Elephas maximus indicus: one gene and its partner. The protein of the gene in region 1 purifies or fractionates together with the protein of each later gene. This does not show direct contact. Links are inferred from orthologs where the notes say so. Each region holds a gene or a part of one and is shown on either strand. Other genes may lie near its edges. The genes, in order: FBXO22 and KDM4B.

Region 1 (16,384 bases):
GTTAAAAAAGGAGAAGTAAAATCTTGATACATGCTACAGTATGGATACAGCTTGAAGACATTACCCAAAAAAACCAAACCCGTGCTGTCCAGTCAATTCTGAACCATAGCGATCCTACAGGACAGAACAGAACTGCCCCATAGAGTTTCCAAGGAGTGCCTGGTGGATGTGAACTGCTGACCTTCTGGTTAGCAGCCGTAGCACTTAACCACTATGCCCCCAAGGTTTCCATGATATTAGGCTCAGTGAAATAAGCCAATCACAAAAGGGCAAATATTATATGACCTCACTTATTTAAAAAAACAAGAAAAGGCCAATGTATACAGAACAAAGTTTATTAGTAGTTACCAGAGGTGGGAGGGAGAGAGAAAAAGGAGGTGTCATGGATTGAATTGTGTCCCCCCAAAATATCTGTCAACTTGGCTAGGTTATGATTCCCTTGTATGATTGTCTACCATTTTATCTTCTGATGTGATTTCCCTATATATTGTAAATCTTATCACTATGATGTAATGAGACAGACAAGCAGCAATTATACTGATTATAAGGTTATAAGATTAAGTAGGGTCTTAAGCCAATCTCTTCTGAGATAGCAAAGAGAGAGGAGAGCAGAGAGACACGGGGACCTCATACCACCAAGAAAGCAGCATCGGGAGTAGAGAGCATCCTTTGGGCCTGAGGTTCCTGCTCTGAGATGCTCCCAGGCCAAGGGAAGACCAATGACAAAGACCTTCCTTCAGAGTTGACAGAGAGAGAAAGCCTTCCCCTGGGGCCGGCGCCCTGAATTCGGACTTCTAACCTACTGGTCTGTGAGAGAATAAACTTCTCTTTGTTAAAGCCATCCTTTTGTGGTATTTCTGTTATAGCAGCACTAGATGACTTAGACAGGGGTTAACAGTGATAGAAAAATCGTACTGATTAAGGGTAGGGTTGCACAGTCAATTACTGTAACTGCTGTCAATAAGTTGTACACCTGTAAAAAGTTGAACTGGCAAAAGCTATGTGATACATCTACAATGACAAAAAAATAGAGTAACTGCCGAGGCTGCTTATGTATAACCAACCACCTCATGGGACTTGGTTCCTTAGTTTGGGGTTTAGGGTCATGGTTTCTTAGGACATCCCAGTTAAATGGTCTAGTAATATTTTTAGCGCTTCTGCCCTACCTCCTAGTTTGTCATATAGTGCCTAGAGTCTTAAAAACTTGCAAGCAGCCATCCAAGGCACAACAACTGGTCTCTATTCAACTGGAGCAACAGACAAAGAAAGAGTCAGGAATAGGTGAAGGAAGTAGAATATGTGGTTAACTGCCCCTGTGAACAATGGCCTCCTTTGTCATGAGACCATAAAAGCTGGGTAGTGCCCAGTTACCATTACTGAACACTTTAATCAAAGATTACATAGCATAATCCTGATCAAAAGGGGGAAAACACATAAGAGAATTTCAAACCGTCACAGACTCACACTTTGTGGAGCCATGGAGGGTGGATGAACCCCTAAAACTACTGCCCTGAAATAAATCTTTAAACCTTAAACCAAAAATATCCCCTGAAGTCATCTTAAAATTGAACCACAGTTTAGCTTAACTAGTAAAAAAAAGATCCGCCTTAAGCATTATGCTCTTTTAGGAACTATCTATATAGGATGAAATTGACAACAGCAATTCAAAAGATCAGATAGGAATCCTGGGGGCAGTGGGTTTATGTTAATGAGGGAGAAGCAACTCAGAAAAGGAGGGTGGTGGGTAACCAATTTGCTCTGTAAACTTTCACCAAATGTACAATAAAATTTTTTTTTAAAAAAGCAGGCTGAGAATGGTTGCACAACTCGAAGAATATAATCAGCGTCACTAAACTGTACACGTAGAAACTGTTGAATTGGTATATATTTTGCTGTGTATATTCTCAACAACAAAATAAACTTTACAAAAAAAATGAACGGAGGGGGGTAGTTAAAACTTTTTTTTATGGCTATAAAAGTACCATGTCCACTATAGATAATTTTGGAAAACACAAAGAAAACTGCAGGTACGATTTGAGTAGGATTTCTACGTTTTTAATCTCACACAAGCTAGAGTTTACTACAATGTACAGTCTTTTTAAAATGGTATTACTATACGAATTTTAATAATATCAATAATAAAGAATATTTAGTAACACTAATTAAAAATATTACATTCCTGGTACTACAGGTAATGTGTTACATGTATTACCTACTCATGATTTAATTCTTACAAAAACTCTATGTAAGAGTGTAAGGGAAATTACCTTTTTTTTTCCTATTTCATTTTACAGAGCTGAACCTAGGACTCACAGTAATTAAGTAACTTTTTCAAAGTCATACAGCTAGTATGTGCCAAAGCCTAAATTTGGCTACAGCAGCCATTACAATGTGTCAGCCTTTAAAGCTGTATTAAAATACCTGCTGTGATTAAAAATCTGAAAAACAAAACCCCAAAAAGTTTAAAGAAGCACTTAAAAAAAAAAAAACTCTATGCCCAAAGAAAATGTATGTTAGCATTCTCACTTATTTCTTTCCTATTCTTTCCTTTTTGTTCTAAATAATTTCAGATTATACTAAACGTATGATTTTATCATCTATTTTTTCATTTATAAAATCTACATTTCCCCTCATCATTAATGTACCTTGCAATCTGTCACTTAATGACTTTATTAGATAAACATTGGATTGTTATAAATGATGCTCCAAAGAACATCTTTATGGAAAAGTCTTTGCTTAAATTTTTAATTTTTTTAAATGACAAACTCCTAAAAATGGACCAGGCAGACCTGGGTCAAAGTACCAGAACAAAGTTTTCTGCAAGCCTGCCTCTGGATACTGACCAGCTCCCTGACATCTAAGGGCTCTGTTCACACAAGGAAGGACAACAAGACTGGTTACATGCAGGAGATTAGTCTAATATCTAAATATATATTAAGAATCACGGAAGCCAGACTTCTCACTGTCCGGAAGGGAGGTACAAATATGAGTACAGAAAACACTAGAAAGAAATTTTCGTTGGATTAGAACTGGATGTACATTTGTGAACTCATTAATTTACATATATAGAGATAAAGTTGTAAACGTGTATATATGTCACAGATTGAATTGTGTCTCCCAAAAACATGCGTCGACTTGGTTAGGCCAGGATTCCCAGTACTGTGTGGTTGTCCTCTATTTTGTGATTGTAATTTTATGTTAAAAATGATTAGGGTGGGATTGTAATACTATCCTTATCCAGGTCACACCCCTGATCCAATGTAAAGGGAGTTTCCCTGGGGTGTGGCCTGCACCACCTTTTATCTCTCAAGAGACAAAAAGGAAAGGGAAGCAGAGAGGGGGGCTTCACACCACCAGGAAAGCAGCACGGGGAGCAAGGCACATCTTTGGACTTGGGAGCCCTGCACAGAGAAGCTCCTAGTCCAGGGGAAGATTGACGAGAAGGCCGACAGAGAGAGAAAACCTTCCCTTGGAGCTGACACCCTGAATTTGGACTTTTAGCCTACTTTAATGTGAGGAAATAAACTTCTCTTTGTTAAAGCCACCCACTTGTATTTCTGTTACAGCAGCACTAAATGACTAAAACTATATCTATATACACGTTTATACACATGTTTATACACACACGCATGTACACATATACATATATTCCTGTCTGGTCTTTGGAGCAGCAAACCTCTCAACACCAATGAGTGTATCTTGCATCCAGGTTTTGACTTCTAAATACCATTCTCCACTAAAAAATCCAGGACTCCTTGCACAAACTGCTGATTCTAGGACTAAGGCTAGCAAAACTTAGACCATCTCGTGAAAGAATGCAATAAAGTGCTCAAAGATGACAGACTCATCTCTAAAATGTATTGAAGCCAGATGGATGGAACACCCACTAGCCAAACTGGAGACAATTTTGAGCACCAAAATAAATGCTAATAGTAAAGATCATATCCTACTGAATAAAATAGGAGATCAAGAGTATAAACAGATATAAATAAATAAACAGACAAAGTTCTTTCAGGAGCCCTGGTCGCACAGTGGTTAAGTGCTCAGCTGCAGATCTTTCGGTTTAGCTGCTAACTGAAACGTCTGCAGCTCAGACCCACCAGCCTCCACAGGAGAAAGATGCTGCAGTCTGCTTCTGTAAAGATTACAGCCTTGGAAACCTTACAGGGCAGTTCTATTCTGTCCTACAGGGTCGCTAAGAGAAGCTACTAGAACAAAATGGGTTACTTACATAGTTTCAAAGTGTCTCACCCCAAAACACTTATTGCAGTAGAGAGTAATTTTATAGTAGAGACACCTGGAAAACACCATCTTAATCCAGTAATCAAAGATAATTTGCACCAATAATGTGATAAATGGAAATCATATACCAACTGACAGGATGCAAAGAACACAGTAACACTTCTGCGATATTCCTGCCCAAAATGCACAATCTGAATCTAATAACCAGAGTCTTCAGACACACCCACATTGATGGATGTTCTACAAAATAACTGGCCTGTAATTTTCCTAAGTGTCAAGTTTGTAAAAGTCAAGAAAGCCTGAGAAACTGTTCCAGATCAAAGGCGATTATAAAAGCCATTATAAAGGCCATTACTGGGACAACCGGCAAAATTTGACCAGAGTCTAAGAATGATATGGTAGAAATGTATCAATAATAATCTCCATCCTGATGGCTGTATTGTACTTATGTACAATGTTCTTCCTTGTACATAATACATACTAAAGAACGAGGGAGTGACAGAGCATTAGATTGGCAATTTACTCTCAAATGGCTCCCTCCCACTCCCAGGTGAGATACCAGAGCCTCACTCTCACTTGTGCTCAAGCGGCTGCCCCTCTGACTTCACAGTCCAAGTTTTTACACTCCCCTCACTAGACATTGTCTCCTTTTTTGAAACTGAGGCCCAGAGATAGAATACACAAGGGTATTTGATTGGTAGTCGAACTATTTGGGTGTCTTGGCTTTCTGGTTGCCTGACCCGGTGCAAGAGAGTTGCCTTTCCTGCAAAATCGACAGCGATACTTGCTTCAACGGAAGGCGGTGAAGGGAAAGTTCTGCGCACCGTTATTATAATACAGAAAATCTGGATACTCAAAATTTTCCAACATTCAAAGAGTCAAATAAACCATCACGGCACAAATATACAACTGTTAAAACTGATGTTTACAGTCTTTCCCGGCATGAGAAAACGTTTCCTGCATTACAAAAAATAAAGCCATAAACAAAACTGCAATTGGAAAAAAAAACCTTAGTTCCCAAAAGCTGTCCCAACAACCCTACTGTGCACGACACCCCTTCTTACTTGCCTCAAGCTCCTCTGCTAGCACGCGGACCAAGCAGTGCCCCTCCAGATGGCTGGCCTCCGCCGGGACCGCAGAGACCCAGGTCACACTCCGATGGGCCCGCAACACTCTGCGCACGCACTCCCTCCATAAGCGGCATACGCTGGGGACGCAAATGCACAAGAGGTTGCGAACTGACGTTCATTTCCACCTCCTCCGCTGCCGGCAGACCCCCACCCGCAAGTGCAGCAGCCGAAGACCCCTGCCAGCTCCAAAGTTCCCGAGGAAGACAGGTGTCTGGGCGCTAGTTCGGAGGAAGAGCCAGACGCGGGGAACCTTAACGGGAACTTCGCCCCTCAGGGAAAAGTCCCCTCGGGGAGCCCTTCGGTAGGGGTACCAGGCGGGTGGGGGCGTCGCCTCGGGGCAGGGCTGGGGGTCCGGGGCACCCCTGGGTCCCAGTGGTCTCAGCCCACCCCGCCGGCCTGAGCATGCCTGCGGCATGTCCTGAGGCAAGCGTCCCGCCTCCTCTGTCCTCACCCGGCCACCCGCAGCAACGCCTTGGCGGGTAGGAAGGTAAGGACGCGTTCCACCACCTCCGCTAGATTACTCAACACGAAGGTGCTTCGCGGGTCTGCGGAGCAGGAGCTGCGGCAATCGCCGCGGCCGCCGCCCACCAGCTCCATTGCTCCCCAACCCGCCCGTGGCAAGCACTACGGCGGCCTGGAGGGACCTGCTTAGGCTGGCACAGGACCGCCCAGCCGGCGAGCTCTGGGCGGGCGCGCACGTCACTTCCGGCCAGGCAGGGAAGGCGTGGCTGCGGCAAGGCGCCCACGTGAGTCCGGCCGTCAGGTTTCCGGTGTTGGACTTTGTGAGCTAGCTTACTTTGGGAGGTTCCGCCGGAAACCTTCCTGGAGGTCTTTTATGCTGTCGGAGTCAAAATATGTACTGTTCCCTATGTGCCTCTCGCTACACTTGCAGCGTTTAAGTTTTTATTTTCAGTTTTTTGAAGACAAGGACGGGGTAGAATTGGTCTTTACAGTCCCAAAGACTGTTAAATAGCATGTGCCCAATTTTTGGACAGTTTTCAGCTTTAAGTGATTTAGGGTATGAAGACTTGGGCTTGAGTCTATGGCTGCGTTCCTCATTGCCCTTATTCAACACCTTGTGAACTTGGATAAATCACTGTTGTAGCCCTCATGTCCTTAACACATAAAATGGCATAAATGGCACCTGCAGTTCTGAGGCAGCCTGAAAGGTAATGTCTGTGAAAGCGCGCCCCAAACTACACTGGTTCCTCCCCAGCAGCATCAGAGTCACCTGTTTTTAAGTTTTCACGTGTTTCTCAGACCTCACCCCAGGCCTACTGAATCAGAAACTGTGTTTGAAGTACCTCGTCGGTCATTCTAGGAAGCCCTGGTGGCATACTGGTTAAGAGCTACGGCTGATTACCAAAAGGTCACCAGCTGGAATCCACCTAGGTGCTCTTGGAAACTGTATGGGCCATTTCTACTCTGTACAATGGGGTCACTGGGAGTCCAACTTGAGGGCAACCGGTTTGGTTTTTTTTTTTCTTTCTTTCTTTTTTGGTTCGGTCATTCTAAGGAGCCCTGGTGGCATCACGGTTAAAGCCACCCACTGGTAACCTAAAGGTCGCCACTTAAACCACTAGTGGCTCCTCGCAAAAAAAGATGTGGCAGTCGGCTTCTGTAGAGAAACCCTATGGGGTCACTTTGAGTGAAAATGCACTCGAGGAAAGTGGGTTTCGGTCAGTCATTCCGATGCCGGCTCAAGTTGAGAACCATAGATAAAAGGAATCTAAGCACAGTAAGCACTGCCACTTGCCCACCTAACATCTATTACTCCAGCGGCTGCTTTGTTAACATCCCTCATTTGTTCCCCAGTTCTTGAGGATAACCTTCACTGGTCTAAACTAGTGGTTCTCAATTTGACCTCAGCATCCCTTTACACTCTTAAATATTGATACCCACTAAGAACTTCTGTTTATGTGGGTTATTCTATCAATATTTACCATACTAAAAATTAAAATATATCTTAAATTCATTACACATTAGGAAAACAATTTTATGAAAAATAACCATTTCCACAACTCACAAATAGTGAATAGTGTGGTATCACTTCATATTCTTCTAATTTCTGGATAATGGAAAATAGCTGGATTCTCATCTGCTTCTGAACTCAATCTTTTGCAATATCACGGCATGTTCTTGCTAGTTGCCATGGAGTCGATTCTGAATCATGGTAACCCTATTGTGTTACAGAGAACTCCATTGGGTTTTTAAGGCTGTGACCTTTCTGAAGTCAATTGCCAGGCCTGTCTTCTGAGATGCCTCTGGATGGATTTGAACTGCCAACCTGTCAGCTAGTAGTCCAGCACATAACCATTTGCACCACCCAGAGACTTCTCATCACAGTTATGCAGTCTGGAAAACTACACTGCACATTTGTGAAAGAATGGGAGTGAAAAAGGCAAATAATGGTTTAGGTTATGAAAATCGATTTGGCTTTTGCACACCCCCTGAAAATGTCTCCCAGTGATTCCCAAATCATACTTTGAGAACCAATGATCCAAACTAATCATAATGGTCTCACATTCTTTTTCACCAGCCATTGGTTTAGGGGTTGACACAGGCCCCAGTTCTAGCCAAGAAGTGAGGGGCAGTGTGCTTGATGAGGTGGGACTTTTAAAGATTTCCACACCTTCTAAAGAGATACTGAAAGAGGACTATTGTCTATCTATGGACTTAGTAAGGCACACCCAAACATGACATTCAATCCAAGGATGAATCAACATGGAAAAATCTCAAAGGAGGAGAACACAGCCTACGTACACCATGCCTGGAGTCCTGTCTCTGGACTTTAACTGTGGTGAAAATATACACACCACAACATTCACCAATACAACTTACATATTTACAATAAATGACAATGATTACATTTTTTCATGTTGTGCCACTGTTACCACTGTCCTTTTCCAAAATACTCTACCACCATTAAGATAAATTCGATGACCTCCACAAACAAAAAACTCTCCCTTCTCCCCTCCCTTCCACACCTGGTTACCATTAGTAATCTTTGGTTTCTAGGTATTTATTTCATATAAATGAGATCATCCCCCACGTGTCTGTCAGTTTGTTGTACTGTGGGGCTTGTGTGTTGCTGTGATACAGGAAACTATGCCACCGGTATTCAGATACCAGCAGGGTCACCCATGGAGGACAGATTTCAGATGAGCTTCCAGACTAAGACAGACTAGGAAGAAGGACCCAGCAGTCTACTTCCGAAAAGCATTAGCCAGTAAAAACCTTATGAATAGCAGCAGAACATAGTCTGATATGGTGCTGGAAGATAAGCCCCCCAGGTTGGAAGGCACTCAAAAGATGACTGGGGAAGAGCTGCCTCCTCAAAGTAGAGTCAACCTTAATGACATAGATGGAGTAAAGCTTTTGGGACCTTCATTTGCTGATGTGGCACGACTCAAAATAAGAAACACCTGCAAACATCCATTAATAATCAGAACCTGGAATGTACAAAGTATGAATCTAGGAGAATTGGAAATCGTCAAAAATGAAATGGAACACATAAACATCGATATCCTAGGCATTAGTGAACTGAAATGGACTGGTATTGGCCATTTTGAATCAGACAATCATATAGTCTACTATGCTGGGAATGACAACTCGAAGAGGAATGGTGTTGCAATCATCGTCAAAAAGAATGTTTCAAGATCTGTCCTGAAGTACAACGCTATCAGTGATAGGATAATATCCATATGCCTAGAAGGAAGACCAGTTAATACGAATATTATTCAAATTTACGCACCAACCACTAGGGCCAAAGATGAAGAAATAGATTTTTATCAGCTGCTGCAGTCTGAAATGGATCGAACATGCAAGCAAGATGCATTGGTAATTACTGGCGATTGGAATGCAAAAGTTGGAAACAAAGCAGAAGGATCAGTAGTTAGAAAATATGGCCTTGGTGACAGAAACAATGCCGGAGATCGAATGATAGAATTTTGCAAGACCAATGACTTCTTCATTGCAAATACCTTCTTTCACCAACATAAACGGCGACTGTACACATGGACCTCGCCAGACGGAACACACAGAAATCAAACTGACTACATCTATGGAAACAGACGATGAAAAAGCTCAATATCATTAGTCAGAACAAGGCCAGGGGCTGACTATGGAACAGACCACCAATTGCTCATATGCAAGTTCAAGCTGAAACTGAAGAAAATCAGAGCAAGTCCACGAGAGCCAAAATATGACCTTGAGTATATCCTACCTGAATTTAGAGACCATCTCAAGAATAGATTTGATGCACGAACACTAGTGACCGAAAACCAGACGAGTTGTGGAATGACATCAAGGACATCATCCATGAAGAAAGCAAGAGGTCAGTGAAAAGACAGGAAAGGAAAAAAAAACCAAGGTGGATGTCAGAGGAGACTCTGAAACTTGCTATTAAGTGTCGAGCACCTAAAGCAAAAGGAAGAACTCATGAAGTAAAAGAACTGAACAGAAGATTTCAAAGGGCCTCTCGAGAAGACAAAATCAAGTATTATAATGACATGTGCAAAGAGCTGGAGATGGAAAACCAAAAGGGAAGAACACACTCGGCGTTTCTCAAGCTGAAAGAACTGAAGAAAATATTCAAGTCTCGAGTTGCAATACTGAAGGATTCCATGGGGAAAATATTAAATGACGCAGGAAGCATCAAGATGGAAGGAATACACAGAGTCATTATACCAAAAAGAATTAGTCGATTTTCAACCATTTCAAGAGGTGGCATATGATCAGGAACTGATGGTACTGAAGGAAGAAGTCCAAGCTGCTCTGAAGGCATTGGCGAAAAACAAGGCTCCAGGAATTGATGGAATATCCATTGAGATGTTTCAACAAACAGATACAGTGCTGGAGGTGCTCACTCGTCTATGCCAAGAAATATGGAAGACAGCTTCCTGGCCAACTGACTGGAAGAGATCCATGTTTATGCCTATTCCCAAGAAAGGTGATCCAACCAAATGTGGAAATTATAGAACAATATCATTAATATGACATGCAAGCAAAATTCTGCTGAAGATCATTCAAAAACGGCTGTAGCAGTATATCGACAGGGAACTGCCAGAAATTCAGGCCGGTTTCAGAAGAGGACGTGGAACCAGGGGTATCATTGCTGATGTCAGATGGATCCTGGCTGAAAGCAGAGAATACCAGAAGGATGCTTACCTGTGTTTCATTGATTATGCAAAGGCATTTGACTGTGTGGATCATAACAAATTATGGATAACACTGCGAAGAATGGGAATTCCAGAACACTTAATTGTGCTCATGAGGAAACTTTACATAGATCAAGAGGCAGTTGTTCGGACAGAGCAAGGGAATACTGATTGGTTTAAAGTCAGGAAAGGTGTGCATCAGGGTTGTATTCTTTCACTATACCTATTTAATCTGTATGCTGAACAAATAATACGAGAAGCTGGACTATACGAAGAATGGGGCATCAGGATTGGAGAAGACTCGTTAACAACCTGCGTTATGCAGATGACACAACCTTGCTTGCTGAAAGTGAAGAGGACTTGAACCACTTACTAATGAAGATCAAAGACCACAGCCTTCAGTATGGATTACACCTCAACATAAAGAAAACAAAAATCCTCACAACTGGACCAATAAGCAACATCATGATAAACGGAGAAAAGACTGAAGTTGTCAAGGATTTCATTTTACTTGGATCCACAATCAACAGCCATGGAAGCAGCAGTCAAGAAATCAAAAGATGCATTGCATTGGGCAAATCTGCTGCAAAGGACCACTTCAAAGTGTTGAAGAGCAAAGATGTCACCCTGAAGACTAAGGTGCGCTTGACCCAAGCCATGGTATAATGCATGTGAAAGCTGGACAATGAATAAGGAAGACCAAAGAAGAGTTGATGCCTTTGAATTGTGGTGTTGGCGAAGAAGATTGAATATACCATGGACTGCCAAAAGAACGAACAAATCTGTCTTAGAAGAAGTACTACCAGAATGTTCCTTGGTAGCAAGGATGGCGAGACTGTGTCTTACATACTTTGGACATGTTGTCAGGAGAGATCAGTCCCTGAAGACGGACATCATGCTTGGCAGAGTACAGGGTCAGTGGGAAAGAGGAAGACCCTCAACGAGGTGGACTGACACAGTTGTTGCAACAATGAGCTCAAGCATGATTGTAAAGATGGCGTAGGACCGGGTAGTGCTTCATTCTGTTGTTCATAGGGGTGCTATGAGTCGGAACCGACTGGACGGCACCTACCAAACGAGATCATATAGTATTTGTCCTTTTGTGACTGACTTATTTCAATTAGCGTAATGCCTTCCAGGTTCATCTGTGCTTCATTCTCTTTACAGCTGCTTTATGTTCCATTGTACGGACATACCACATTTTGTTTATCCATTCATCTGCTGATACACATTCCAGGTGCCACCTTTCGGCTACTGTGAAAAGTGCTGCAGTGAACATTGGTGTACAGATTTCTGTTTGTTCCTGCTTTCACTTCTTCTGGGTATATATACCTAGGATTGGGATTGTGGGTCATGTGGTAGTTCTATGTTTAACTTTTTGAGGAACCGTCAAACTGTCAAAGGGGCTGCACCATCTTACATTGCCACCAGCAATGGATGATGATTCGCTTCTCCACAACCTCACCAACACCTGTTGTTTCCTGTTTGCCTTTTTTTTTTAATAACTGCCATTATTAAGGAACTCTGGTGGCACAGTGGTTAAAGTGATCAACTGCTAACGGAAAGGGTGGCAGTTCAAAACCACCAGCAACTTCTGTGGGAGAAAGATGTGACAGTCTGCATCTGTAGATATTTACAGCCTTGGAAACCCTACGGGGTCACTATGAGTCAGAATTGAGTCAATGGTAGTGGGTTTATTGGAATGGCTAATGAACATCTTAAATACCCTCTTTGAAGAGCTGCCTGTTCAAGCCCTTTGTCCATTTCTTTTATTGGGTTCTTTTAATGTTGTTATAGAAGTTTTATATATTTTTTGGATATTAGGCCCTTGTCTGATACATGGTTCTCATCAATTTACTCCCAATCTGTACTGTCTTTTCATTTTGTTGATAAAATCCTTTGATGTACCAAAAGTACTGAATTTTTATGAGATCCCATTCATCTATTTTGTCTTTTGCTGCTTGAGCTTTAGTTACCATATCCTCTGGACTTTTTGTATGTGACATGACCTGATAACTGTATGCTAAGGAGGCCGAGGATATGCTAAAGTGGGGAACAAAGGACAGTCACTTAAATTTATATTTAAGAATGAATGTGGGCAAGGGGGAAAGGCTGAGGAAAACCCAAGTATACCAAGTCCATACACACTATTTCTGGATTCTCTAGTTTCTTCTTCTTAAGTCAATCTGCCTCTCTTCCTCTCAAGCCTCTTATGATGGTTAAGGTTATGTGTCCACTTGGCTAGGCTGTGAGCCTCAGTGGTTTGGCAGATATTACGTAATCATCCTCCATCTTGTGATCTGATGTGAGCAGCCATTCAGTTCAAAGGGGCGTTTCCTTGGGGGTGTGGCCTGCATCCAATATATAGATGTTCTGGCAAAGCTTGACCTCTCTGGATCCTGTATCCAACTCATCATCCTCTGACCTCCAGTTCTTGGGACATGATCCAGCAGACTGCCTTCCAACCTGCAGATTTTGGGACTTGCCAGCTCCTGCAGCCCCGAGCCAGCAGCCTGCCGTCTGACCTGCCAATTTTGTGATCATTAGCTTCTGCAACCACATGAGTCAGGAGAAGCCTCCAGCCTGACGCCTGACCCATGGATTTCGGACTTGCCAGCCTCCACAATTGTGTGAGCCATTTCCTTGTAATAAATTAATCCCAATCTCTCTCTATCCACATAAATATACATATATATACACACACATACAATTCACTTGTTTAGCTCCTGTAGAGAACTCTGTCTAGGAAACCTTTCCTCACCCAAACCCACCTTAAATGGTCCTATTCCAGAAACTCAATAGAGCCTATGGACTCCTGAAGCAAAGAGTATGTCTTATGAGGGAAAAATGACAAAATAATTTTTTAAATGGTTCTTTATTCATAAACTTGATGCAAGTTTACAAAATTTACTGTACATTGCCAAATAAATCTGCAATGAAAAATAAAATCCAAAAAAAAAACAAAGCATGCCAAATGTGCAGCCGTCAATCTGCTAGCCATCAGTATATTAAAGAATTCAATAATGTATTCAAGATTTAGCCTTAGGTTTAAGGAACTTTAATGCTTTAAAGAGTTCTGCCTTGTCACTTCTTATCTGAGCAAAACTGGCTATCAGAACTTTATACAAATTTAACCAAGTGAACCAGAAAGCCAGAAAATCTTTATCTACTGTCCTCTTAACCAAAATAGAATCAAAAGAAATAAAACACACACAACTAATACAGAAGTGCCAAGTCTCTCTGATGAGGTTCACAAAGTTAAAACCTGAATCTCAGAGCAAATGTGTAAGAAAGGCTTCTCAACTTTGTAACTGGTTTGTGCAGAAAAATGTGCTTCTGGAGTTCATTTTTAAAAGTGCTTATTAACATCTAAAATTTACTTTTAAATCAAACGTGGGTGTACAAAAAATCCATTACCAACCAAACAGGACTGATTCAGGTAAGGCAATAAAATGGAGAGCACACTGATTTGAGTCAGGTTTCATAAAGGAATTGACATATGTAGAGTTCCTTTTAGTCTCTCAACGTAAAAGCCATATGTTATGACTATGGCAACAAATTTTAAGAGTTTCCAAATTAGATATTATCTTTTTGGATTTAACTGTGCAGCCTTTGCTCAAGGAATCTTTGTGCCAATCATTTTATTAGTTTACAAATGATTGCAACATCCCGTTAATAAAATGGAAACGTAAAACGACTTAGTATTTTAAATAATTTCAAGCTCTATACTGTAGCTCTTCTCTTAAAGAATACTGAACCAACAAGAAGCAAATTCAGCCCAGTAAGACTCTTGATGCCCCAGTGGAAATTACTACTTAAATGCCTTCATTGGCACAGCCTTGCTTTGCTTTACTTAAAAAGTACAACCCAATTAAGCGTATATCAACAACAAAGAGTTCATATTTTCACACAGCCATAAAAAAGTTTAACAATTTAATGAGTAGGTTTCCTGTCATTATTTTGGCAATATCATAAAATGGTTTTAGACCTGAAAAAACTACTGTGATTTAGAAGACCTTAAATTTTCTAAACCAGTATTAAACAACAATTAAACTTTTATTGGCTCGAGATGAAACAATGTATTGCAAGTCATCAAAATCCGTAGGCTCAACACAGGAAAATTACCCAAGATGCGTCACAACTTCAGTAACCTGATGCTGACTTGCCTGCTTCGAAGCTTTCACTTATCAAGAAAAAGAGATGATAAGAAGTGGCCAGTATATGTATTTATCAGGAAAAATACAGTAAAGGCCCCACTGCTCAGTCTGAGATACCTAAGATGAGCAAGATGAAAAGGCTGTAACTTATACTGGATGTCAGCTGACAGATTATCCACTAAAATATCTATTAGCTAACGTCTTCGGTACTGCTGTTATAGGGGCACTCAAAGCTCGTGTCTGCATGTTGGGAAGATTTTCTTTAAAGCAACATTGGTCCAAACATACAGCAATCAACACTTTTAGCCATCTTCCTTTGGAGGGGTGTACCACCCTAAAATAGAGAAAAACAGAATATTTTAATTCTTAAACCAGCTAGAAGAACTGGCATTTATTAAGGTTGGCTACATTCTCTACTCATAATTTTGAAGTTTAAACCTACTACAAAAATTAAACTTATACTTGGGTTGGTAACAGCATTTTGATAAGTTCACAATTTCAAGCTATTTTCTATGAATAAACTGTATATGAGTTTTGAACTTATGATCTCTATATTAATGCCATTCCTAGCTAGAGACAACACTGGAATATTAGACTATGAGCTAGGTTTTATTCCATTTCAGTTTGGTATTTGAAAGTAAACCTCCTAAAATTACGTATGTGTATGTGTGTGTATGTGTGTTTTTAATGTAAGCCCACAAAATAACTATCCTACAAATAAAATCCTGGCATTTTAGAATAAGAAGAATTTGGATTGTTGTTCAGTGCAAAGATGTCATTTCAACAATGAGGAGGCCATCTTATCAGATGCAGTGACTAAGTACCTATGTCTAAGATCAGAGTTAGTAGCAGAAGCCAAACTAGAATCCATCTCTCCTTACTCTATTGCTCTTTCCACCATAGATAAGCTTACACACATCCGTACATTCTCAAATACAGCACTTTCCATAAACATTTTTGAACAGTAATTGTAATGTTTGCTTTAATTAAAAATAAATAAGGGAAAGATAAGAAAAAGTGTTTCCCAGTCTCAAGACTAACTACTATTTGGTACAAAGTCACCATTCGAGCAGTATGAATACACCAAGATGTGTGGAATATCCTCATGGTTATGAAGTAGTGCACAGGCTTCTTTGGCTACTAATTTAGTGTGCTAAAAACAGTAATTATTATGAAAACCCAGCCTTATGCTCAAGTTTTATCATTTCCTTCTTCTGCTTCAAAATTCTATTTGAATACTGTTCTCTTCCTCAAGTAGCAGTCGCTGAAAAAGTGACAAGTTTGCTTTGTTATTAAAAGTGAGCACAAAACACAAATATTACGGCACAACCTGCCACATTCCTGGCAAAGTAAAGACGACCTTATTGTTAATACTCTCTTAAGAAATCCTCTCTTTTTAGGTTGTTTATTCTACACAGAAAGACATGAGCTTCAATATCATCGCTATGAAGAACAGCACACTTAGTTATGAAGTGCTACTCATAGACACACACACTACTCTGTTTTTTTCTCACAAGTTTACCAAGACAGATATTATGCCAATTTTAGAGATGCGGTAAATGAGGCTAAAAGAGGTGAAGGGATTGCTCAGGGCCACAGAGCTAGTGAGTGACACAAATGGCACTTGAAAATAAGTCTTTTGATTCCGAGTCTAGTTTTCTTACGAACTGTTGGGAACAAAAACTCAAAAAATGTG
Region 2 (16,616 bases), on another chromosome or scaffold:
ATTAAAGGGACTAGGCAGAGGAGACAGGACATGCCAAGAGGAGCTAGTGCCTCTGATAACAAAGTCCTCTGAGTCTCTCGCTCAGAACTGGGGTTTGCTCTGCCTTTGCCACAAACCTGGTACAAGGAGGGCTGGCCATGAGAAAATCCCATGGCTCTCATAAACTCCAGCCCGGAGGGGTCGTAAACCGAAACACCTTATATCCTGAAAAAGTAGTTTCCTCTACCTGCTCCCTACTCTTCCTTAGACGGCAGCAAAGCAGAGGCTGGAGATTTTAAATTCCAGTGGCTTTACTCATGTGCAAGCTGGGGACGGAGCAATTCTCTCTTGACTCGTGACCACGATAATCAGATCCACGCGGCCGACAACGCTCAGCTAGGACGCCCACACCGCAAGGGCAGGCCCTTCTGATGGAGGAGGTCTTAGAAGAGAAGTGTGAAGAGAGCGAGATGCTGAAGAAGGCAGCAGCCTCGGAGGGCCCAGCAGCCAAACACCATGACTCTCCCGGGCCCAGAAGCCCCGCCGGGTCCCACACTCATCCCAGGGCACATGGCCACCCGGCCCCCTCCTTTGCTCAGGTGACCACACGCTAGCTGGTCAAGGGCGGTCCTGAGTGGAGACCACACTGCCTGCGCCCCAGAGATGTCGGAGTCCCGAGCTCCGGTGGAGGATACGGCCCGTTTACTCCCTGTTTATGTGGTTAAACACTCGGCTGCTGACCAGAAGGCTGACAGTTCGAACCCACTCGGCAGCTCCAAGGGAGAAAGCTCTGGAGATCTGCTCCCATAAACACTACAGCCCAGGAAACCCTATGGGGCAATTCTACTCTTTCAAATGGAGCCGTCACAACTCAATCGCACCTAACAACAAGAGCCTTCCAAAAAACCAAACCCACTGCCATCGAGTCAAGTCTGACTCATAGGGACCCCGATAGGGTTTCCAAGGCTGTAACCTTTACGGGAGCAGACCAACAAGTCTTCTGCGCAGTGGCTCATGGGTTCAAAGTGCCAACCTTTTAGTTGGCAGCTGAGTGCTTAACCACTGCGCCACCAGGGCTCCTTCCAGTGGCTCTCATTTCCCACAAAAACTACTTCCAAACTCTACCCCGTTTGTAGATCGGGGGTCACCAGGAGTTCCCCCACACTTGCTGGCAGCATCAGGCCAGCTCTTCCGTTGAGGGAGACGTGTGGGTCCACGGCTGCCTACTTCTCTCACAAAGTGCAGCTCTGAATCGCCGGCTACCTCCTCTCACACGACTCGTTTCTCTCCAGTCTCTCCCCCGAGACACCTCAGGTGCCAGGTTTCCACACTGGGCCCGGCATGACAACGAGAGTGGGGGCCCACCTCCACCCCCACCTACCCAGAGGCCGCCACCTGCGGGTCCCACTGCAAACACAGAAAGGGCATGTGATGAGGGCAAGCCCTGACTGCGACGCCGACGTGTCACGTTTACAGCTCGCCATCCAGGCTCGCTGCTAAGGCCTAAGTTAGTTATAGTTCAACTCCGTACCCAGAGGTCCACTGGGGGCGCAGCAGCCATAGGCCGTTTGCTTTCTGACTCTTATTCTTTGTCCACTGAACAAACGTACTTGAGCCATCTATCCGATAACCACAACCCAGAGTTACAGAACAACTGTGTGCTCCTGCCGCTGCCAAGTAAGGAGCCCTGGTGGCACAGTCATTAAGTACTCAGCTGCTAACCGAAAGGTCAGTTGTTCGAACCCACCAGAAGCTCTGCAGGAGAAAGACCTGGCAACCTGCTCCCGTAAAAATTACAGCCACTAAAACGCTATGGGACGGTCCTACCGTCACACAAGGTCACAGTGAATTCAAAATCGATTTGACAGCACCTAACAACAACAACCACTGCTCGAAGGCACGGCCCCTGCCCGTGGGGCAAGGAGGGACCAGACAGAAATGGCAGCATCTGATAAAGACAGCTTAACAGGAGCTTTTAATCAACCCTCTCCTGTTCACAGACATCACCGGGATGGCTTAATAAAAGGAAAGAAAGGCGAGAGAGCAAGAAGTCAAGAGAAAGAATACAGGGAAGCAAGAAAGAAGACAAGTAAGCAAGTGAAGGGGAAAAAAGAGAAAAAAAAAAAAAAAGACACAACTTTTGAAAGCCAAGAAATACTGAGCAACCTTCTCCAGATTGTTTATTTCAATCAAAAAAAGAAAACCATAAATGAATGGTATGCTTTCTGGACAAGTAGGAACATTCCTGAGTCGGCACCACATCTCAGAGACACCCTAGACACCTCCTAGCGGGATACGTGGCTTGGAAAACACTCGCCAGGCAGTCTTTATTCGGGAAAGCCACGGTGGAGGAGCAAGGCGAGCTACAGGCTGTGTGCACAGTTCCTCCACGTCCAGCGTGGCTGTCCGTCATTCCGCTCAACCCCACAGCTGAATCTTAGCACCCACGAAAGCGACTTCTCTCGTGAGTGTTCCTGTGCAGACGGCTTGTGTTATGGTTAGTTGCTACTAAGTCAACTCTGACTTCTGGCGACCCCATGTGTGTCAAGTAGAACTGCTCCATAGGGTTTTCAAAGCTGTGACCTTTCAGAAGCAGACTGCCAGGCCTGTCTTCTAAGGTGCCTTTGGGTGAGTTTGAACCACCCACCTATCGGCTAGTAGTCAAGCGCTTAACCGTTTGCACCACCCAGGGACTCCTGCAGGTGACTAGGAGACTGCAAAAGCCACCTCCTGGGATGACCGCAGAGCCCCAATGGTGCAGCGGTTAAGCACGGCAGCGAGCTACGACAGCTAAGCAAAAATGTTGGTAGTTCAAATCCACCAGTCACTCCTTTGAAACCTTATGGGACAGTTCTACTCTGTCCTGTAGAGACGTTAGGAGTCAGCCAGCCACGGAGTTTTCCGGAATGACAACACTACTTTCAGCAGGAGCACTGGTATTGGTAGAGGATGGTTCAGACACCGTCTTAGTTATCTAGCTCTGCTACAACAAAAACACCATCAGTGGCTTGCTTTAACAAACAGAAACTCATTCTCTCACAGTTTAGGAGGCTCGAAGTCCAAATTCAAGGCAGCGGCTCCAAGGGAAGGCTTTCTGTCTCTGTAGGCTCTGGAAGAAGGTCCTTGCCTCTTCAGCTTTTGTTTCCTGGTTCCTCTATGTGTGGCTTGGCATCTGTCTTACCCCCTTTCTGCTTCTCTAGACTTTTTAGTCTTTTTTATATCTCAAAAGAGACTGACTCATGATACATCCTGTGCTAATCCTGTCTCATTAACATAACAAAGACAACCCACTCCCAAATGGGACTAGAACCAGGGTCATTGCTGTTCTGTTGTTAGGTGCCACAGAGTCGGTTTGGACTCAAAGCGACCCCATGTACAACAGAACAAAACACTGCCAGGTCCTGTGCCATCCTCACAGTCCTACTATGTTTGAGCCCATTGCTGCAGCCACTGTGTGAATCCATCTCGTTGAGGGTCTTCCTCTTTTCCGCTGACCCTCTACCTTACCAAGGATGATGTCCTTCTCCAGGGACTGGGCCCTCCTGATAACACGTCCAAAGTATGTGAGAGGAAGTCTCGCCATCCTTCCTTCTAAGGAGCACTCTGGCTGTACTTTTTCCACGACAGATTTGTTCATTCTTTGGCAGTCCATGGTATATCTGATATTCTTCACCAGCACGGTAATTCAAAGACATCAACTCTTCTTCAGTCTTCCTTATTCATCGTCCAGCTTTCACATGCATATGAGGCGACTGAAAACACCATGGCTTGGGTCAGGCGCACCTTAGTCCTCAAAGTGACATTTTTGCCTTTTAACACTTAGGTCTATCTTGCACTTAATACTGACAGAAGGCATATTAATCTGGTTATATATAAATCCTAGCACAGAAGCTAGGATTTACAGCACATATTTTGGGGAAACACAATTCAATTCATAACAGAGGCTTACAAAACCAAGTGGTTGTGAAATATTTTCTTCCTTCTAAGCGCTCTGCCACTGCCAGGTCAAAAGAGACTCCACGGGTCACACGTACACCTCACGGGTCTTCCGATGCTCAGCAGAGAGAGGCAGAAAGGGGCAGCGTGAACCCAAAGGCAATGAAAAATAGGACATCCCAAACGGCAAAATACATTTCCTCATTTATGTCTATTTCTTTCCTCCTTTACTATGAGGGTGTTTTGGTAGATGTGGTAACAGCATTCTCGTACATTCTCTGCAGTTTTAATTTCCCTCAACACAACTCAAGGCTTTTTTTTTAAACTAGTGTTTCCTTATTGTTCCAAAAGCAACTTTTTTATACCTTTTTAGTACACTAAGAGCAATTATTCATTCAACAAATACTTATTGAGTACCTACTATATGCCGGGCACTGATAAAGGCACTCGGGGTATATCAGTGGGAAAAAACACAAAGACCCTTGCCTTTGAGGAACAAGAACAACCAAGTTTAAGACATAAGTAAACATACAGGTAAAATGAAAGGTCAACAGCCCTGGCCTGTTTTCTAAAGCACACAGTATTACCCTAAATGCTCTGGAGTGGGAAAGAGGGAAATTCACCCATGCAGCCAGCAAACATTTTCCTGAACACCCACTACGTGCCAAGAACTGCCCTCGGCACTGGGTGTACAGACAGCAACCAACGCAGGTGTCGTTTCTGTATTGTGGACCTTACACCCTAGTGCAGGGGTTAGCAAACTCCGGCCCATGGGCCAGATCTGGCCAGCCGCCTGTTTTTGTACAGCCCACAAGCTAAAAATGGTTTTGACGTTCTTAAATGGTTGAGGGGGGAAATCAAAAGCACAGAAATATTTCATGGTGTGTGAAACTATATGAAATTCAGATTTGAGCATCCATGAATAAAGTTTTATTGGCACCAGGCATGTCCACTCATTTACGTGTTGTCTGTGGCTGCTTTCACATCACAACACAGAGGCAGGAGTCAGGTCAAAGGCCATCTGGCCTGCAAAGCCAAAATGATAACACTACTCTCTAGACCTTTACAGAAAAGTCTCCTGGAGTAGATAAGACAGACAATAAATACAGAACCAGGCTAATATACCTTCTGGCAATGTTAAGTGCGGAAAAAGAAAAAGCAGAACTGGGGGAGATGGTGATTGGAGGGGCTACTTTTTTTTTTTTCTCACAGTTCATTATTCTTTTTTATTTTTTTTAATAATTTTTATCATGGTTTAAGTTTACAAATTAAGTCAGTCTCTCACACAAAAACCCATATACACCTTGCTACACACTCCCAACTACTCTCCCCCCGATGAGACAGCCTGGTCTCTCCTTCCACTCTCTCTTTTCGTGTCCTTTTCGCCAGCTTCTAACCCCCTCTACCCTCTCATCTCCCCTCCGAGGGGCTACTTTTGAAAGTGTGGTCAAGAAAGGCCTCCAAGCTGAGACCTGAATGACAAGGAGCCGGCTGGATAGTGGCCTGAGGGAAGAGCATTCTGCGAGAAGGAACAGCATGTGCAAAGGCCCTGATGCAAGAAAGGGCAGGCAGGTCAGAAGGTGGTTATGGCTGGCAAGGAGCACCCTTGGGAGAAGTAGTAGGTAAAGAAGAGAGGAGAGGGCCACGAAGGACAGAGCAAGCAGGCCACAGACGGCGTCTGAATTTTCTCCAAGGGCAACAGGAAGCCATGGGAAGGTTCTGAGCAGGGCAGGCCATTTTTGAGGCAGCAGGAGTGAAAACAGCCAGACTAGCTGGGACACCTTATCTAACCAACAAGCAGATCCCAGAACAGGCCAAGTCCAGCGGGGACTCAACTCCAACTCAAAAACCGGTTCTTCACACACACAAAAAATCAATTCATGGATGAGCTCAGGCCTCAGTATTTGAGGTGATAGCAACTTCTTTCTTAAAATATTTAATATCTCTAAGTTCATCTTAACGTGCATCAGTAGAAGGATCTGCCACAAGCACAGTAACAGTCGCACGACTCACGGAATCACCGCTCAGCGAGAGGCTGAGACTAACAAGTAAACACCTTGAAGCCAATGCAAAGAAAACCGTTAAGCCGATCGATAAGACAAGAGTACAGGGACTGAGGGGGTCACTGGGTGGTACAAATGGCGAACGCACTCGGCTGCTAACCAAAAGGTTGGTGGTCTGAGCCCACCCAGAGGCATCCTGGGAGAAAGGCCTGCTGATTGAAGTCCAAAAACGCAGCTTTTGAAAACCCCGTGGACCATAGTTCTACTCCGACACACATGGGGCTGCGTGAGTCACAGTCAGCTCCACCAACACTGGTTTTCTAGGGATCGGGAGGAAGAGGAAGTGCTGCCTCAGGGAAGCCAGAGGAGCCTGGCAGGGGGCCCGCGGGGTGAGGCGGCTGAGAACAGCCGGGGAAGCCCCCCGCGCCCACTGTCCCTTGGCCGGGTGGACGTCAGGGTAGGCACAGGCTCTCCCACAGGCCTGCCCCTCTCCCCGCTGGGGTGGAAGCTGCAGGTTGGGAAGGGCAGAGGGACCACTGGGAAGAGACTGGAAAGCCAGGCCAAGTCGCAAATATGACCCACTCGCTACTGAATGGCCCCTGCTGTTGTTGCTGTTACCGCTTGCCACCGAGTCCATTCCAACTCCCAGCAACTTTATGCTACACAGCACTGTCCCATAGGGTGTCCTGGACTGTAATCCTCACAGCAGCAGATCACCAGGTCTTCTCTTCTGAGAAGGAAGTGCTTAACCATTGCACCGCCAGGGCTCCTGAAGGACCCCGAGGTGATCCAAACAGTTTGCACTTGACTGCTAACTGAAAAGCAGGCGATTCGAACCCACCCAGCAGTACCACGGAAGAAAGGTCTGTCACACCTGCTTCTGTTAAGAATTCAGTGCCCTGAGACTGGAAGTGGGCAGCGCCAGGCTACATTACTAACATTTTGATCAAAGATTCCATAGAAGAATCCTGATCAAAAGGGGGAAAATGCTGAACAAAATTCCCAATGCGCATGGACTCTATAGACTTTCTGAAGCCATGGAGGGTGGATGTCGCCCTGAAACTACTGTCCTGAGATAACCTTTAAACCTTAAACCAAAAATATCTCCTAAAATCATCTTAAAACGGAACAACAGTTTAGCTTAACTAATAAAAAAAAAAAGGTCTGCCTTGAGCGTTACGCTCTTTTAAGAACTATCTCTATGGGATCAAATTGACAGCAGCAACTCCAGAGATGAGACAGGAAACTCAGGGGGGCAGTGAGTTCATGTTAATGAGGGAGGAACAACTGGGAAAAAGAGGGTGAGAATGGTTGTGCAACTTGAAGAATGTGATCACTGTCATTAAATTGTACATGGAAAAACAGTTGAACTGGTGTGTTTTGGTGTGTATATTCTCAACAACAGCAAAGTAAATAAAACTTCAACAAAACAAAATTCAGCTAGGAAAACCCTATGTATCAGTTCTACTCTGCAGCACACGGGTCCATGAGCAGAATCCACTGGGCAACTACAAACAAACAAGGACCGGTGATGTTTCACACCAACCAGAACGCAACTAATAGCAACTGAAGGCTGGGGAGCCGGCAGGGGATGGGGGGGGCGGCGAGCGAAGGAATCTGAGAAGTTTGAGACTGGGGATGCGACAAATTATCAGGCTGCCGCAGGGTTAAAGGCGTAAATTCGTGGTTCTCACTTGGGGCAGTGCGTGGAGAAATCTGTGGTTGTCACGACTCAGAAGGCGGGTGCTACAGGCATGGAGTGGGTGGAAACCAGGGATGTTGCTCAACGCCCTACAGTGTTCAGGACATCCCCACCGCAGAGAAGGATCCCCTGGGAAACCCCGTGGAGGCGGCTAGGAGGCCGCAGCACTAAATTGCCCCAGGGTTCAGCACTCTGGTATGGCCACCATTCACCAGGAGGCAGGCACCCTGCAAGAACTTCATGACTTTTATAGCCTTAGATCCTCATGACAACCTATGAGGGAGATGCTGGCCTTACACCCATTTCATAGATGAGGAAAGTGAGGCCCACAGGAGAGATCCGAACCCAGGTCTCCGAGACTCTGGAGTCTGTGGCAAGGAGTGGAGAGCAGGCAGAAACGCCAGGGTGGGCGAGGAATGCCAGGTCAGAACCAAGCCTGAGTTCAGCTCCACCCCTCCCCCACCCCCAGCCCCACTCTCCAGCTCCCCCCAGGATCTGGGTCGGCATGAGAAAGAAAGAGATAACCCAGGCCTTCCCATCATGGCGGTGACCACGGAGGGTCTGCGTGGCCCACAGCTCTGAACCCACGCAGCACGCTTCCGGATCACAGGAAGAAAGCCACCCAGAAATGCCACCTGTTCCTGGTTTGGCCCCTCCCCACCCGCCACCTCGACCCGTCCACTCCCTAAGCTGGGCCCCTGGGGACAGTGGACGCTCCACAGCCATTACTGCTGGGACCACACTCCAGGGTACCCACCTCTCCCTCTCCCCCACTAGCCCTGAAGCCCCTGGAGGTTGGGAACACGCCCTCCCAACATCCTCAGGCCAGGTAGGTGAGTGACGCCAACGTCCATTCTCACAGGTGTGAGATGGCACCAAGGGATAGACAGTCTCCCCAAGGCCAAGTATCTATTGGACCCATCCGGGGGAGGAGACAGGGCACAGAGCAGGCAAAGGAGGCAGAGAAATTAGAAATCCGAGTACAGGCAGGGGCAAGCAGGTTGTGAGGCCCCTGGCCGCCCTAGAGGGCTCATTCAGGATGGGATGGAGCTGAGGAAGGAGCAGGCACTGTGGCAGGGTCTTTTCCACTGGACAGAGAAGAACAACAAGGGGGGTGGGGTGGAACAGTGACCAAGTGATCCGTTCTACCTTTAAGCTCCAGTATTTAACATCTCCTTAGCAGCCCACTTCCCAAGGAGGAAAGGATTAGAAAATACATGAAGATCAACGGTGGCTTAGACCTGCGTATATTCAAGTATTAACGACTACACACGACACGTGTGCACCCACACAGCTGACACAGTACACCCTTCCATCAGAGCACCCGTGACACGATGGGGCATTTATGCGACCGCACCCCCAGCGCCCCGTTCCTCCCCAGAGGTGACCTCCAGCAGAGCAGAACACATTGACCTTCGGCGTATTGCAGACGTATAGAGTGGGCAGCCCGGTATTGGCCATGTGTCCAATCAACAACTCAAAAAGGGACAGCGAGTTTTAGAAATTCTCTACTCAGACTCAAAAGTTGACTTCCAGCTGTGACGCTCTGTCCTTCGGGATTTCAAAAAGCAAACTGCTAGGAAGCTGCCCACTGCTTCTGGAGGGGTGGTGCAAAAGAGCTGACCGGTCTATTGACAAACTCTCGCGATGCCTCATAAGGAAGCTATTATTTGAGAATTAAGGGATTCATTAGCTCTCGCATGGCCGTGATAAAAGCCCATAGGAGTCATCTAATGAGCAGGTTTTAAGGCTGCTGCTGTTTTAGGAGCTTTTTCCGCCTGGGGATCATCGGATAAATGGCTGTTGAGGCACAGGGGTAGGGCAAGGCACCAGCCTCTTAAGTGCACCCCAGTATCCTCAGAACCTCGAGCCTTGATGGCACAAACAGTTAAGAGCTTGGCTGCTAACCAAGAGGTTGGTGGTTCAAATCCACCCAGCAGCTCTGCAGACGATGTGGAGATCTGGTTCTATAAAAATTACAGCCTAGGAAACCCCATGGAGCAGCTGCACTCGATCACGTGAGGTCACTACGAGTTGGAACGGACTTGGCAGCACTATACAACAGCCTCAGAACCAGAAGCCGTGGTGGCGAAAAGGGTTATGAGCTTGGCTGCTAACCAAAAGGTTGGTAGCTCAAACCTACTCAACGACTCCGCAAGAGAAAGATCTGGCAATCTACTTCCGTAAAGATTAGGGCCTACAAAACCCTGTGGGGCAGTTCTGCTCTGTCACATGGGGTCACCATGAGTGCAAATCCACTCCACGCACAGAACAATGACCTCAGAACCTGAGACACTGCTGGTACCCAGTGGGTCCCAAACACGCTCACTGACCCAATATTGACAGAAACACATGGAACAGCACACTCTTTACATGTTACAGGATCGTTCAGCTCCACTGAGCAGAACCACCTTCCCACTAGTTTCATAACTCAGGAAACAGTTCCCAGGTGCACCTGAATTGTTAAAACAAAAGCACCCCGCCGCCCCAACCAAACAGATGGAACACACCAAAAACAGTCCTCACCTTCTGCCTCTCTCTCAGGTTTGAAAAAACCCCTACAAAACCTTCTACCCTGCCCAGGTGGACATGCACCCCGCTAGTCCTTATGTTCCTAACTTATGTCATCGGGCGCCCCCTGAGCGCGAGCAAACCCCAGCCCAGGTAGACACAGGGCAAATCCATTTCAGCACGAATCCATCCCCTCGCCCCCGCGTCGACGGATGGGACAGCCAAAGGGGTCGCCGCCAAGACCAACTCCTGGATTGATTTCTTTCTACAGAGCAGGGGCTCCGAGATGGCGATCGGGCTGCGAGGGGGAGGGACCGGGGGACACGTCTTGGAGCTGCTGCTATTGCACAGCGAGGAGACACATTTTTTTGACTCCAGATTGCATGGTTATTAGGGGGAGGGGAGGGAAGGCTCACGGAGACGGCGGTGGGGGGGCAAGTTTGGAAGCTGGGATGACACGACAGGTTGTCTTGCGGAGGGGCTGGGGGGCACCGATGGATTTTGGGGGATGCCCCTGGGTGTCGAGGCCGGGAAGCGCCCCCATTAATCCCACTGGTGTCCAAGGGGGCTGGAAGCGCAGGCGGGTCGTACCATGGCCTGGGTGGGTTTTTTTATTATGAGTGGGATCGTTCTAAATCCTAAAGGGGGAGGGCCCGCGCAGGGCCGGGCCGGGCCACCCACGCTGTCATCTTTTGTGCCCAGCCCCCCGCGCCCCGGCCGGGAAGGGGCGCCCCCGCCCCGCGCGCCCGGCCATTGTGCGGCCCGCCGCCCCCGCCGCAGCCCCGGCCGGCCCCCCTGGCCCGGGCAGTTAACGCCCCCAACGGCCCCGCGGGCCGGGACAAAGCGCGGCGGCCGGGCCCGAGCAGGCCGCGCCCGAGGCCTGGGCCTCGAGTGCCGGGCGCGCCCGCAGCCCCGGGCCGCGGCGCGGGGCGAAGGCGGCGACGGGCCCGCGCTCGCTCACTCGGCCGGCGCGGAGGCCTCCCCGCGGGCTCACCTGAGGCGGCGCGTGCGACCCGGTGCGGAGCTCAGCGCGCGCTCCCCGCCCTCGGCGTCGCACCCCCAGGCCCCGCTCGGGCCGGGCCCCGCTCGGTCGCTGGCGGCCGAGCCCTCCGGAGCGCCCCGGGCGGGGCTTATGAGGCCGAGCGTCAGCACCGCCCCGGCTGCCATTGGTCCGCCAACCCACGCCCGCGCGCCCATTGGCTGCCGCTGACAGCTCCGCCCCTCCCCTCCGCCGGGCCCATCAACAACGCACGGCCCACCCGCCGCGGACCTCCATTGGGCGGGCGCAGCTGCCGGAATCGCGTCCCCATTGGTCGGTCGGCAGGGACACGCCGGCGCCCACCCACGTGCCTGCTGACCGGCAAGGCTCTCATTGGAGGCGGCGCCCGCCAGCCAAGGAGATTGGGACCAGTCCGACGGCAGGCAAGCCTCAGATTGACAAGGCCGCCTCGAGGACCGCCCAACGGCCGCACGGGAGAAGCGAGCATTGGCTGCGGGGTCAGCCCGAGGCGCGGATTGTCTGGGGCAGGTGCCAATCACTGCCAAGTCGCCCTGGTTATCAGGCGGCCGCTGAGTACGTGAGACCCCGCACAACATCAGCACCGAGCCGGGGAAGCGCGGAGTGGAGGGTTCGAGACCCGCAGCCGGAATATTGGGCTGCAATTTGCGAAGTACCAACGAACCTATTTTGCAAAGGGGAACTGAGAAATAAGGAAGTGAAGCAAGCGAACACCCCCCGCCCCAACCCCGGCAGGCTCGTTTCCCTCACAATGAACAAACCTCTGCAAAAGGCTAGGTGGTTGGAATAAAGTTAGATCCCCTTCCCGAGTTCCCTAAAAAAAAAAAAATTATGGGAGGTGATAAATTTGGTGCTTTCAGACCTGGGCCCCACCCCTCGTTGTGAGTGGGCCTCAGTTTGCTCTGTGAAATGGATTTGACGGTAGTGTGGCCTGTCGCCCCCCTCCTGGGAAAGTTGCCAGGATTACGTGTGATGACCCAGGTAAAGGGTTTGACCCTGTGGCTGTACGTAGTAAGCATTGAATTGAAATTAGTAGTAGTAATAACAATGTTGTTAACTGTGAGTTGGGCCAGGCAAGGGTGTGGTCACCCATTTCTATACAGGAGTATAACTCAGTACAGCCACTCTGGATCATTTGACATTTTCTTATAACAGTTTAAGTTTCAAAGAACAAACAAGTCAGACGAAATACAACCAGAATGCTCCTTAGAAAGCAGAATGGTGAGACTTTGGCTCGCTTACTTTGGACACGTCATCTGCAAAGATCAGCCTCTAGGACATCCATGGTTGGTAAAGCAGAGGGTCAGCAAAAATGAAGAAAACCCTCAAGGAGATGGATTGACACAATGGCCGCAACAATGGACTGAAACATACCAATGATCAGGGAGATAGATGGTGCAGGATCAGGCAACATTTTGTTCTGCTGTACACAAGGTGGCCGTAAGTTGTAGCCAACTTGATGGCAAGGACAACCCAGGGTTCTTCCTCCAGAGAAAGTTTGCTGCACAGCCCTGTTTGCAACTGTTTCCAGTGTTCTCCTCTAAATATCCATCAGTGGGGCTGAAGTAAACAATTTGTGACATACCTTACTCAAATACTTAACTATGTAGCAATTGAAAACTAGGCAGACCTCTATGTAGTGTCATGGAGTAAACTCCTAGGCATGTTGTTGAGCAAGCTGCAGAAATACCCAGATTTTTTGTATTCAACAAGATACATTTCATGGAAACAAATACACATGAACCAATATCATGTGGCTTCTCAGAGTTCAAGGGTGTAAATGCACAGAGTAATTTAACCTTTGGGGAGAAGGGAAAGAGTTCCAAATTGGTAAAAAGAGGTAGTCAGAGGGGACTCGAATCTGTTCTCTGATGTTTTAAATTCTTATGGGACCATGTTCACATAGTCCCCATATAGTTAAAAAATTTAATTTTAAAAACAGGAAATAGTGGGTACCTTCAAGGAACCCCCTATCCAACGGGGAAGGCAGAAATGGAATGCAGTCATGATCAAAAGTACAATAATGGATTTTCCCCCATACAAGCCTTTTTTTTCTACTTCTAAGTTTATCCATTAAGACACTGAATTCCACATGTTTGGATTTCACAGACTCTCAAATTGTATTTTTTTTTTTTTTAATTGGGAGACCAAAATAGCTTGTCAACTTTCTGATTTTGTTTAGGGAGACATTTTTTAACAGCATCTAATATGACGGCAGGGAGTCCTGGCGGCACAGTGGTTAAGAGCTAAATGGCTGCTACCCAGAAGGATGGCAGTTCAAATCCACCAGCCGATCCTTGGGAACTCTATGGAGTTCTACTCTGTCCTGTAGGGTCACTGAGTCAGAATCTACTCGAAGGCAATAGGTATAATATGATGGCGCAGGACCCGGCCGCATTTCATCCTGTCATGCGTTGAGTTGCCATGAGTTAGGGCCAATTTGATGGCAGCTCACAACCACCGTTATGTGATAAACAATATTAACAATTGTAGAGTATAGATAGTGGGTATATGAGTGCTCACTATACACTTCTTTCAACTTGTTTGAAAACTTGCATATTGAAAAGGAAAAAACTATAGTCCCTGTCATTTCAGGCATCTATAAAAAGGGATGGTTGCCATGGGTTGGGGGCCGACTCAACGGCAGTTAACAACATACAAAAGTAGGAAGGACACTCAGAATTTTTAAATGGACAAATTAACTTGGGGAAAGCGGGGGGGCGGGGGGAAACTCACCTAAACGTCCTGCTTTTTCTGGTCTCCACGGGCAGGGCATTGTGATTGGGGATCTCTCCAAGCCAGGAGCCTCTGTGGCACTCATCTTTGACCCCCAAGGGCCCCTTGGTCAGCAGAGCCAGAGCCCAGCTCATGACCCCGCCTCATCCTTCACCTGACCAGACAGGCAAAACATGGAGCCAAGAAACATCTAGTGCTGTACCAAGTTTCCCCTCCTGCTTAAGGGTAGGTCCACTACATAAGAAATAAGGATGGCTGAAAAGATACATTTTCTCATGTGTTAAAAAATACATTGGGGGAGAAATTCTAACATTCCATCTGACTCCAAGCAAACTTTGCTAGACACACGTGGGTATTATGTTCCACACTGACACACAGATATATGCAAGTATGCATCCACCAAGACCACAGGTCACGTCTGTTTGCAATGGTGCTAGACAATGTGGCTACTTAAACATTGTATTCAGAAGAAAACAGGGCCCAAAGTGGCATATATAGTCCCACCCTCATTTAGTCCTTCGAATCTAAATATATAAAACAAGTACATGGAAATAATACGGACTTTGGCTTTGCCACATCCTTAGGCAAACCACTTAACCCCTCTGTGCCTCAGTTTCCTCATCTGCAAAATGGCCGCCGCATCATAGGTACCTAACAAACACTGACTCATATACAATAAAACCTGAACAAAGGTACATCAAAATGTTAACCCTCTGGGTGGCAGGATTGTGTGTTTTGACTTTTTCCTTCACATATTCAGTTTCCAAGTTTTCTAAAAGGAACATGCATTCATTTGGTAACCTGGGAGAGGTGGAGGGAAGGAAAAAAAATTTACATTAAAGAGTCAACCAAGAGAATAAAATGTGGAACACCCATACAATAGGAGCCTTGGTGGCATGACGGTTAAACGCTTGACTACTAACCAAAAGGATAGCGGTTCAAACCCACCCAGCAGCTCTGCGGGAGAAAAGACCTGGCGATCTGCTCCTGTAAAGATCAAGCCCAGGAAACCCTATGGGGCAGTTCTACTCTACCACGTGCAGTGGCTGTGACTTGAAATCTACTCAACTGCACCCAGCAGAAACAGCAGCCATACGATGTGATATTATTTAGTCATGAAAACTAATGAAGCACTGATACACGCTACAACACGGAGCAACCTTGAAAACATTATGTCAAGCAAAAGAAGCCAGGCTCAAAAGGCCACATACTGTATGATTCCACTGATATGAAGTGTCCAAACCAGGCAAATCCGCAGAGACAAAGATGAGCGGTTCCCAGAAGCTGGGGGTACGAGGGTGTGGGGAGGGACTGCTGACGGGTACAGGGTTTCTAAAGGGGATGAGAGTGTTCTGGATCAGGGATCGATGATGACTGCACAACCTTGCGAATTTACTAAAAGCCATTGAAGTGTATGCTTTAAATGGGTCAATTACATGGTACGTGAATTACATCTCAATAAGGCTGTTATTAAAAAAAAAAAAACTCAGGGCTGACTCAAGACGGGGAGAGTAAGTGGGAGTAGGGAGTGAGATGTATGTAAACTTATATGTGACAGACTGATTGGATTTGTAAACGTTCACTTGAAGCTTAATAAAAGTTATTATAAAAAAAAAAAAAAAAACTCAGGAAATAAATATGCTCGATATTGTGATTACTTCTGCGTAAGTTTCACAAATACTTAATTAAAAAAAAAAAAGTGGGAAGAAAGACTCTGAATCACTAGAAACAGATTGGCCGACAGTACGATTCTAGAAAGTTCCACATGCCCCATTTTGCAAAGTTAGAGGCTTTTGCTTTTCCTAAGAGCTGGCAGTTTTCACTCTAGACATTATACACCCCATTCGCCAGAACCGCACCAGCCAATACGGAAGCTGCCAGCTACATGTGGCTCCATGAATTTCTCCATCATTGAAGAAAGTTCTACTGGACCGCGCTGCTGGAAAGAGCAGGGGTCAGCAGCCTATGTCTGTAAAGGGCCACAGAGTAAATACATTTAACTTTGTGGGCCAGACGGTTTCTGTCACAACTACTCAACACTGCTGGTTACAGCAGGAAGCAGCCATAAACAATACGTAAATAAATGAGCATGGCTGTGTGCCAATAAAGCTTTACTTACAAAATACGGGCCCAGAACCCAGCGTGGAGCATATGGGCAGTGGAACAAATTTGGCCTTTTGGGCTGTAGTTTGCCGACCCTTGCTCAAAACTGTTAAGGGAAAGGGGAAGGACCAAAATCTCCTGGAGTCCCTCAGTCCCCAGGTGACGTAAATGGCTAATGCACTCAGCTGCTAACCAAAAGGTTGGAAGTTCAAGTCTACCCAGAGGTTCCTCGGAAGAAAGGCCTGAAAGTCTACTTTTGCAAACAGCCACTGAAAACTCTGTGGAGCACAGTTCTACTGTGACAAACACGGGGTCACCGTGAGTCAGAGTTGACTCCGTGGCAACTGGTTTTTTTCAACATGTCCTCAGCTGGCAGTCAGAATGCACTGGCCACGAGCTGTCACCCACCACTTCTGAAGTTCTGGATCTCCGTGTTGTCATCTGTAAAACGGGAGGCAGGAATTTACATGAAAAGAAACGAAATAATGGGTACAAAAGTGCACAGCAAGCTACAAAGCGATCTGCAATGAGAAGACATGAGCAACTGCGTCTGTAAAAGACATTTATTTATTCTGAGGATCTAAAATTCGGACAAAGAATGTTCAACATTTCAGAAAAAGCCTACCCA

What was found.
Region 2: the proteins of FBXO22 (region 1) and KDM4B purify together in Homo sapiens (affinity purification with western blotting; 3 studies listed by BioGRID, with this or other methods). This does not show direct contact. The link is inferred for Elephas maximus indicus from reciprocal best matches to the Homo sapiens genes FBXO22 and KDM4B.

Annotation. Positions count from the first base shown.
Region 1 is NC_064831.1:67,694,524-67,710,907, forward strand, and holds the start of FBXO22 (F-box only protein 22), read right to left. Parts: upstream 6,032-16,384; 5' UTR 5,970-6,031; coding exon 5,824-5,969; intron 5,450-5,823; coding exon 5,311-5,449; intron 1-5,310. Other genes in the region: UBE2Q2 (ubiquitin-conjugating enzyme E2 Q2), read right to left, coding at 14,991-15,022. UniProt on the Homo sapiens protein: Substrate-recognition component of the SCF (SKP1-CUL1-F-box protein)-type E3 ubiquitin ligase complex that is implicated in the control of various cellular processes such as cell cycle control, transcriptional regulation, DNA damage repair, and apoptosis.
Region 2 is NC_064821.1:8,036,454-8,053,069, reverse strand, and holds the start of KDM4B (lysine-specific demethylase 4B), read right to left. Parts: upstream 11,248-16,616; 5' UTR 11,126-11,247; intron 1-11,125. UniProt on the Homo sapiens protein: Histone demethylase that specifically demethylates 'Lys-9' of histone H3, thereby playing a role in histone code. Does not demethylate histone H3 'Lys-4', H3 'Lys-27', H3 'Lys-36' nor H4 'Lys-20'.